2 linked regions of the Canis lupus familiaris genome follow. The protein of the gene in region 1 interacts with the protein of each later gene in a pairwise test. Links are inferred from orthologs where the notes say so. Each region holds a gene or a part of one and is shown on either strand. Other genes may lie near its edges.

Region 1 (3,811 bases):
GCAGAAAGTAAAAATGCAGAACTTGTTTTCATTTTAAACATTAATCAGGAATGCCCCTAAGCTGACCCTTAAGGAGTATGATCTGGAGAAAACTGTCATCATAAATGTAAGAACTGACAGGTTTACTAGTAATTCCCAGCTTCTGTGGGGACATGAAGATTAATAAATGTTTAGTTCTTAGAATTGGAAATGAGGATTTGCAGTTACTAGGTAGCAGTGTAATATTCAGATGCAGTATTCCTGCAACTTTTATACATCATATAATAGTCTTAATTTGGGATATATATATATATATATATATATATATATATACACACACACAAACTTGAAAATCTTCAAGAAATAGGTGTGTATGGAAAATTAAAGATTTTTAGCAAATCTTCATATTTAGGCCAGTATTGTAAGCATATGCATGAACATCTTGATTAGTTGTTTTAATATTTTTATCCAGAGGTCCTCTGTTCCTCTTTTTTTCTTTCTTTAAAGTTATTATATTAGTAATATTCCATGGTATGAAAGTACAGTGTTCATCTTTCTGTTGGTGAACATTTAGTTTGTTTCTAGTTTTGTGCTAAAATAGAAACAAGCATTGTATTATTATAAAAATTGTAAAGCCATTCCAGTTTCTTCTGGGAAATGTCTTTATTTCATCTTTTGTTCATTTTTCTTTCGTGTAGTTTGTCTTTTCTGATTATAGGAGTTCCTTAGAATACTTATCTGTGCTTTGAATGTAATTGGTTTGCTTTTTGTAGTTTTCTGCGTCTAGATGTCAAAGATACCTTCTTGTTTTCATCTTCTAGTTCTAAAGACACATAACAGAAGTTTAATCGACCTTATATTGGTTTTCTTTCAATTGTGAGTTTTTATACTGGCAAGACACATTTCACTAGCTGTGTTCTTTTTTTTTTTCATGAACTTCATGGCCGTACTAGCCCTTACCTTTTTCAAATAAGTTAATAGAATCAACTTCTCAAATACTGCCAAAAATGCTTTTGGAGTTTTGATTGCGATTGCATTGACTCTATATATGTAATTTGCAATTATAGCTTTCAGATAATGACCATTTTCCGTGCATGTTTTATTTATTTATTTATTTTTGGTTTATTTAAAATACTGAATATATGTATTGTGGATGGGTTGCTATTAAAAAAGCATCATTTCTAGTGCTAATAAGTTTTAAATGTGACAAATAGATATATTTATAGAAGGAAAGTATGTAATCTGGAAACTCAATTGTTAAGTATGAAAGTTCAAAGTTGGAGTTTCATTCTTCTGATCTGTAGCCTATATTGGAGGTGCTCGCCATGGTGTTAAATCCTGATTTGTTTTCTGGTCATTGTCATGTTTTGGAGGGCTCTTACTGTGGTCATAAACATTTTCACCTTAAATTAAGTCCAGGAGAATTGTATTGTACCTTTATCTTAATAGAAGCTTATTTGAACGTGTAGTTAATACATAACTGTGTTTGAAACAGCATTACCAGTAAACAGAACATGAGACTTTTAGAATCAGACATGAATATAGCAGAATCACTGCTTTACCAAGTTTTGTGATTTCAAGCAAGTTACATAATCTTTCTTGTTTAGTTTTCTCACCTGTGAAATTGGGATATAAAAATACTTAACCCTATTATTCTAAGTAGGTAGATCTTTACTGAGCCCCCTCCCTGTGTCACCTTGGGAAGATGGAATGAAATTACTTGAGTTGGGTGTTTGGCACATGAAAGTTGCTCTTTCGATGTTGGTTCTAGTTTTCTCCAAGTAGTTTTTTTTGGTGTTTGGCACATGAAAGTTGCTCTTTCGATGTTGGTTCTAGTTTTCTCCAAGTAGTTTTTTTTCAGCCTTGTTATCTCCTTTTTACTTAGAGTCTGCACCAGGAGACAAATCTGTATCACATTCTTGCACAACTCCTTCCACATCCTCTGCCTCTGGACTGAATCCCACATCTGCACCTCCAACATCTGCGTCAGCAATCCCTGTTTCTCCTGTTCCACAGTCACCGATACCTCCATTACTTCAGGACCCCAACCTTCTCAGACAGCTGCTTCCTGCTTTGCAAGCCACGCTGCAACTTAATAATTCTAATGTGGACATATCCAAAATAAATGAAGGTAAATTGGTAACAGTTTTATTATTATTATTTGCTTCGTGTCGTTAGTAAATTCCCCAATTTAGGAGTGGTCTTTTGTTTCATTTTGAAATTCACATTTGAGCGTCATTCTTTGAAATTCATATCATAACCTCATGGTTGTTGAAAACCTTTGGTATTGTAATTAAGTTAGTAGTACTTGGATTTTTCCTGTATATTTTTCTTTTTTTTTTTTTCTCTGTATATTTTTCAAGACTTGCTGTGTACGGTATTTACCGGAGATAAAGCTATTCTGTCTGCTTAATGTGTATAATAAATGTCTTTTTTTTTTTTTAATTAAAGAGCATTTCTAAAAACTGATATAAAAACACTTAAATTCTAGCATATTGTTAATTCCAACTTTGCTTTTCAGTATGCTATTTAGCTAGCAACATCAAAGAAGTCTGAATAAAAGTGGATATAGTTTTAATTGACAAGCTATTCAAATTCAAACAGTCTTAAGAGCATTTTAAAATTTTCTGTTTAGAATAGTCCATTTCAGTATGTGTACATTGTTACATAATATATTTAACAGTAGTGCTAAATGGTTAAGTTCTTCCTTTATCTTAAAAATGGAGCTATTTCACGCTAGTTGGTCAATAATTTTGTTCTTACTGTACTTTCTTGCATTTTGATTTTATTCTCTTAAGATAACTGTGCCATTCTATTTGATAGGTACATGTTTTACTAGGGAAAGTAGGACTTTATGCAGTTTGAAGAGATGATAGCATAAGAAAATGTCAATAATAAAGGATCTTTGAAAATAAATGATGTTCCTAAATTACCTAGCTTCTTTTATTTAATGTCTGTTCTTTAAAAGATTGTTGGAGTGGGTATTAATGTAGGGTTTTATTTTATTTTATTTTTAAAGATTTTATTTATTTATTCATGAGAGGCACAGAGAGAAAGAGAGGCAAAGACACAGGCAGATGGAGAAGCAGGCTCCATGCAGGGAGCCTGACATGGGACTCGATCCCGGGTCTCCAGGATCATGCCCTGGGCTGAAGGCAGGCACTAAACCGCTGAGCCACCTGGGCTGCCCTAATGTAGGGTTTTAATGGTCACCTTGTTTAGTAAAGCATTCACATGAAATAACTACCCTTTATCTTTTTAATTTCAGGTAACCTACAAAAGCCCTTTAGCTATTGATGAATAGATTTCTGGTATAATCAGAATTTCCAGGGAACACTCTTTACTGTTTTTAAAAAGTCTCCGGAGTTTCTTAAATTGAACACAAATTTTAATGCAAAGGAAAACTACTGTTTTCCTTTACAAAAAAAACCATTAAATTTCTTCTACCTCTGATCATTTCCTATCTCTGGACCCATTTTATTACCATCTTACAGATTTTTATTTTGAGAGTTCTAGTTTGAAACACTGCAGTTTCTTTGGGGTTTTTTTAGTTTTCAAGTTGTTACTAATACCATACTGTGCCACTATGTTTTTATTTTAATTTAAGATATGTGTTTAGTTCTTACAGCAGCTGTGACACAAGCCTCATTGCAGTCTATAATTCATAAGTTTCTTACTGCTGGACCATCTGCTTTCAACATAACTTCTTTGATTTCTCAAGCTGCTCAGCTCTCTACACAAGGTATTCATTTTCTTAGGTATTGTGAGAATTGTATATTAATTTGGAGCAGGGGGTTCATGGTAAAACTTTTTGGTTTCTGAAGAGACTAGC
Region 2 (4,425 bases), on another chromosome or scaffold:
TTAAAGCCACTGAGTTTGGGATAACAGTGGAAGGTGGGGATGGGGGTACATGGTATGCTTCTGTGAACCTGTGGCCCACCTGAACCAGTGCACTGGTATGAACAATCTTCTGCACCCCTTTCACTCAAAGTGTGGTCCCTGATGAGCAGCATCGCATTACCTTGTGGAAATGCACATTCTCAGGTCCCACCCCATACCTCCACAGTCAGAGTCTGCATTTTAACAAAATCCCCACGTGATTCAGTTAAAGATCTACTTTGCCTTTATGGCAGGAGAACCGCCCTTCCCAGGGAGCGGAATCCCCACTCTGCCACAAGCCTCTCCACTTTCCAGCCCCTGAGCGCCTGCTCTCCTGTGTAGGCCGCAAATCCTTTCTGGAGGAAGCATCTGCTCTAAATTGCACGTTTTCAACCATGGTCTCCATGAATTTTGGAGCCTGACGGTTTACTAAAACTTGATGCAAAGACAAGAGAGCCAGAATGACAGAGCCACAGCTCAGGGCCAGGAGAGGGAGGGGCCAAAGAGGTGCCTTTTGCAGCCCTCTCTCCACAAACTGAAGGGCACATTTAGCAGAGGAGAGGGGCCTAGTTTTCCTAGAGCTCCTCTGGGAGTCCTTCACACGCCCTCCCTGTTCACCGCCTAGCAACCCAGGAGGCAGGCTGGGAAGCACAGAGGTGGCCTTGCCACACCACACTCCCAGGGCTAGGCGCACGGTGGGTGCTCGCAAGTATTTTTTGACTTAATCTCCGAAGGCTCTGGCTTGCTGGCCAGGGCAAGAGCCTCCGCTCCTTCCCAGCTGTCAGCGCCCACTCTGGTACTCCTGGCCTTAACCGCCGGGGCTGAGGCCGCTCCTGCCCAGCACCGCCCAACACAGATTAATCCAGAACCTGGGAAATGCTAGCAGAGGGTTGTCCACAAAACACTAGGTCAGGGAAGACCTGCTGCGGTGGAGGCGGGGCCTTCTGGAGGCAGAAGCACCTGTGCTGGTCCCAAGAGGGGCCAGGCGGGGTCACCAGCAACCGCAAAGGTGCGGAGCCGGCAGGGGGCCATGGGACTTTCCCAGCCTGGGTGGGCAGGCGCCCTCTGCGGCCTGTCCCACGACCCCGCCGCCCCGGCCCTCCCAGTGCACACGGGCCTGCCCGCCTCTGGCTCCGTCCTCCCAGCCTGCAGGTCTCAGGCTCGGCTCCATCCTCCCAGCCTGCAGGTCGCAAGCTCAGCTCCGTCCTCCCTCCCGCAGGTTGCAGGCTCCGTCCTCCCAGCCCGCAGGTCTCAGGCTCGGCTCCATCCTCCCAGTCTGCACGTCGCAAGCTCAGCTCCGTCCTCCCTGCCCACCGGCTCCGTTCTATCCTCCCAGCCCGCAGGTTCTAGGCCCTGCTCCATCCTCCCAGCCCGCAGGCCGCAGGCCCTGCTCCGTCCTCTCTCCCGCAGGTGGCAGGTTCGGTCCTCCCTGCCCGCAGGTCGCAGGCCCCGCTCCGTCCTCCCTCCCGCAGGTCGCAGGCCCCGCCACACCCGCGCCCGGTCCTCCCCGCCGCCCGCCCGCCCCCCGCGCCCCTACCGCGTGCAGGGAGCCACCTGGGTCCGGGGCGCGCGCTCGTTGCCTAGCGACGGGACGCGCCTCGCGGGGCCGGTAGGTGCGCGCGTCGGGTGTGCGCATGCCCAGCGCGGACGCCCAGCGCCCCGCCCCGCGGCGGGTGCTTGGGGGGGCCCGCGGCAGCCGCGGGTGCGGCCTCGGCCTGGTGAGCGGGGAGGGGCCCCGGCGGCGCCCGGGCTGCCCGGCTGAGAGGTTAGTGCCGCGCCCTGGCAGCGCCGCCGCCTCCGGGCCCGCCCCGCCCGGTCCTCCGGGGCCACGCAGGGCGGAGGGGGAGGGGACGCGGAAGGCCCGAGACCCCTCTGCAGACCCAGGATGGGGAAACCATGCAGGCTCCCCAGGTCGGAGGGTGCCAGGTAAAGCCCGGCACAGGTGAGCTCCAGGTAGACGACGAACCAGCTGGCTTATGCTGCCCTGTGCTAAGCGTTACTCCCTGTTTCTCCAAAATTCATATTGACCCGGGCATCCTATATATATATATAGGATATAATGTATATATATTAGATTTTATTTATTTATTCATGAGATTGACACAGGCAGAGACACAGGCCGAGGGAGAAGTAGGCTCCCCGAGGAACGTCTGATGCGGGACTCGATCCCGCGACCCCAGGGTCACGCCCTGAGCCGAAGGCGGGTGCTCCACCACTGAGCCACCCAGGGGTCCCATCCGTATTATTTTGTGCCGCATCGGGCAACTCCACCCGAACCCCCTCCCCTCCCGCCAGGCTGGGCGGCCCCCCCCCGCTTGGGCAAGGGACCTCTTTGTATCTCTTGTTCGGCCTCTCCAGGCTTGAGGGAGCCGTGTCTCTGCGAAAGGCCTTTCTTACCTGGAGCCGAGATGAGATGCCTGTTAGTGTGTCTGAAAAATAACAACCTGTGAGTTGGGTTTTATCACCATTTCGTGGACAGGAAACCAGGGAAGCCAAGTAAGGAGCTTCCTGGGCTCTGCTATCCCGTGCCCAGGAGGATTCGGGATCAGATTCTACTCCTAGCCCAGAAGTTTCTCCCTTGGGGACATGGTCCCTTTCCCGAGTATTATCCTTCTGGAACAGCAGCACGAATCTGTTCTTTCTTTTATGTTTCAAGTGACATTGAGATGTCACTGTCGTCATTTTTGTCTTTTTGAGTGTGTCGCGTCGAAGAAGCACAGTGAGGATGCTGCGTCTCACACTCGCTGATACTGTAATTCTTCTCTCCGTGTGGTGAAGACACCAACGCCAGCTTGAAAGGGAATTCGGTTCATTCGTGCCAGTTTGCAGAGCTTAAGTTTTTATGACCACGTTTATGGGCACACATACACACATTCCTTTCCCCACTGCTTTCAACAAAAGAGGTGGCTTACTCTATAAACAATTTCTGCACCTTTTTAATTCACTTTGCACCGTGTCCTAGAGATCACTCCCTATTTTAAAGATCTTCCTCGTGCCTTTTATATGATATATATGCACCGTCATCCATCGTGTTGCTGTGTCTCATCAGTCCCTTAATGATGAGCTTTTGGATGAGGCTCCAGTTTGACTGTTCTAAGTAATGGAGCAAAATAACCACATGCACATATCATCGCTCCATATTTTTGCAAGTTAAGATCCGACAAGTGAGATCAATGGTTTAAAGGGTAAATACTTACGTAATTTTCTAGATACTGCCAAATTCCTCTGCGCAGGGGTTATACCATTTTGTACCCTCACCATCGTCAAATGAGAGAGAGCACTTTGGGGATTGAAGGATGAACCTCAGGAGGTTGTTGTTTCTGAAATTTTATGCAGAACATTTGGTGCATTTGTCCAGGGACAGGCCTAGACATGCTGGCATTCTGTTCTCTCATGTTCAGCTCATACCTGACCAATGATGCGTATAGTATATATTTACTGAATGATGAAGACATTTCATTAGATTCTTAGAAGTGACTGGTTTCCATAAGGGTAATTTGAGAGTGATAGTTTTTTTTCAAAGCACCGGAAGTACAGTGTTTGCTATATTCTTTCCTCCCTGCCTCCTTCCTTCTTTCCTTCCTTCCCTCCCTCCTTCCTTCTTTTCCTTCCTTCCTTCCTTCCTTCCTTCCTTCCTTCCTTCCTTCCTTCCTTCCTTCCTTCTTTCCCTCTTTCCCTCCCTCCCTCTCCTTCCTTATTTCCCTCCTTCCCTCCCTCCTTCCCTCCCTTCCTCTCCTTCCTTCTTTCCTTCCTTCCCTCCCTCTCTCCTTCCTTCCTTCCTTCCTTCCTTCCTTCCTTCCTTCCTTCCTTCCTTCCTTCCTTCCTTCCTTCCTTCCTGTCTGGTCTAAGATTGTTCCTGTCCACCTTCATAACTGCATAGACTGGGACATTACTGGGAGGATGGAGGAAGTCATTCACGTGCCTCCACGGAGAGCCAGCACGCCTGCCCTGTGATTAAAACACACTCCTTGAGGAGCTGGAGGAGCTTGTCTTCTAGCAGGAGGACAGACATGTGTGTACACACACGATCTCGGCGTGCATGACAAGTGCTGTGTGAGTCGCTTGGAGAAGGTGGGGCTTCTTTGCGTTGCTTGGGAAAGTCCAGGGAATGAGAGAGGGCCAGCATCTTGCAGGCGAGGAGATGTTTCCTCAGCTGGGAGATAGAGAGAAAGCGTTATGGGCAGAAGTCTTGGAGATGGCGGTGTGCAAGGCGTGGCTGTCAGGATGGCAGACTGCTGAGGGTTGTCAGAGCCCAGGATATGCTGGCGGCAGGGGAGAGGTCTGGGGTGAGCCTGAGAAGAAATTGGGGCCAGGGGATCCCTGGGTGGCTCAGCGGTTTAGCACCTGCCTTTGGCCTAGGGTGTGATCCTGGAGTCCTGGGATCGAGTCCCACGTCGGGCTCCTGGC

The links.
Region 2: the proteins of WW domain-containing adapter protein with coiled-coil (region 1) and DYDC1 interact in binary tests that used the Homo sapiens proteins (3 or more experiments, as listed by UniProt). The two-hybrid records come from large-scale screens. The link is inferred for Canis lupus familiaris from reciprocal best matches to the Homo sapiens genes WAC and DYDC1.

Annotation. Positions count from the first base shown.
Region 1 is NC_049223.1:15,363,944-15,367,754, reverse strand, and holds part of WW domain-containing adapter protein with coiled-coil, read left to right. Parts: intron 1-1,864; coding exon 1,865-2,110; intron 2,111-3,598; coding exon 3,599-3,721; intron 3,722-3,811.
Region 2 is NC_049225.1:30,231,494-30,235,918, reverse strand, and holds the start of DYDC1 (DPY30 domain-containing protein 1), read left to right. Parts: upstream 1-1,611; 5' UTR 1,612-1,627; exon of another isoform or gene 1,628-1,783; intron 1,784-1,808; exon of another isoform or gene 1,809-1,960; intron 1,961-3,930; exon of another isoform or gene 3,931-4,071; intron 4,072-4,425. UniProt on the Homo sapiens protein: Functions as part of axonemal radial spoke complexes that play an important part in the motility of sperm and cilia. Plays a crucial role during acrosome biogenesis.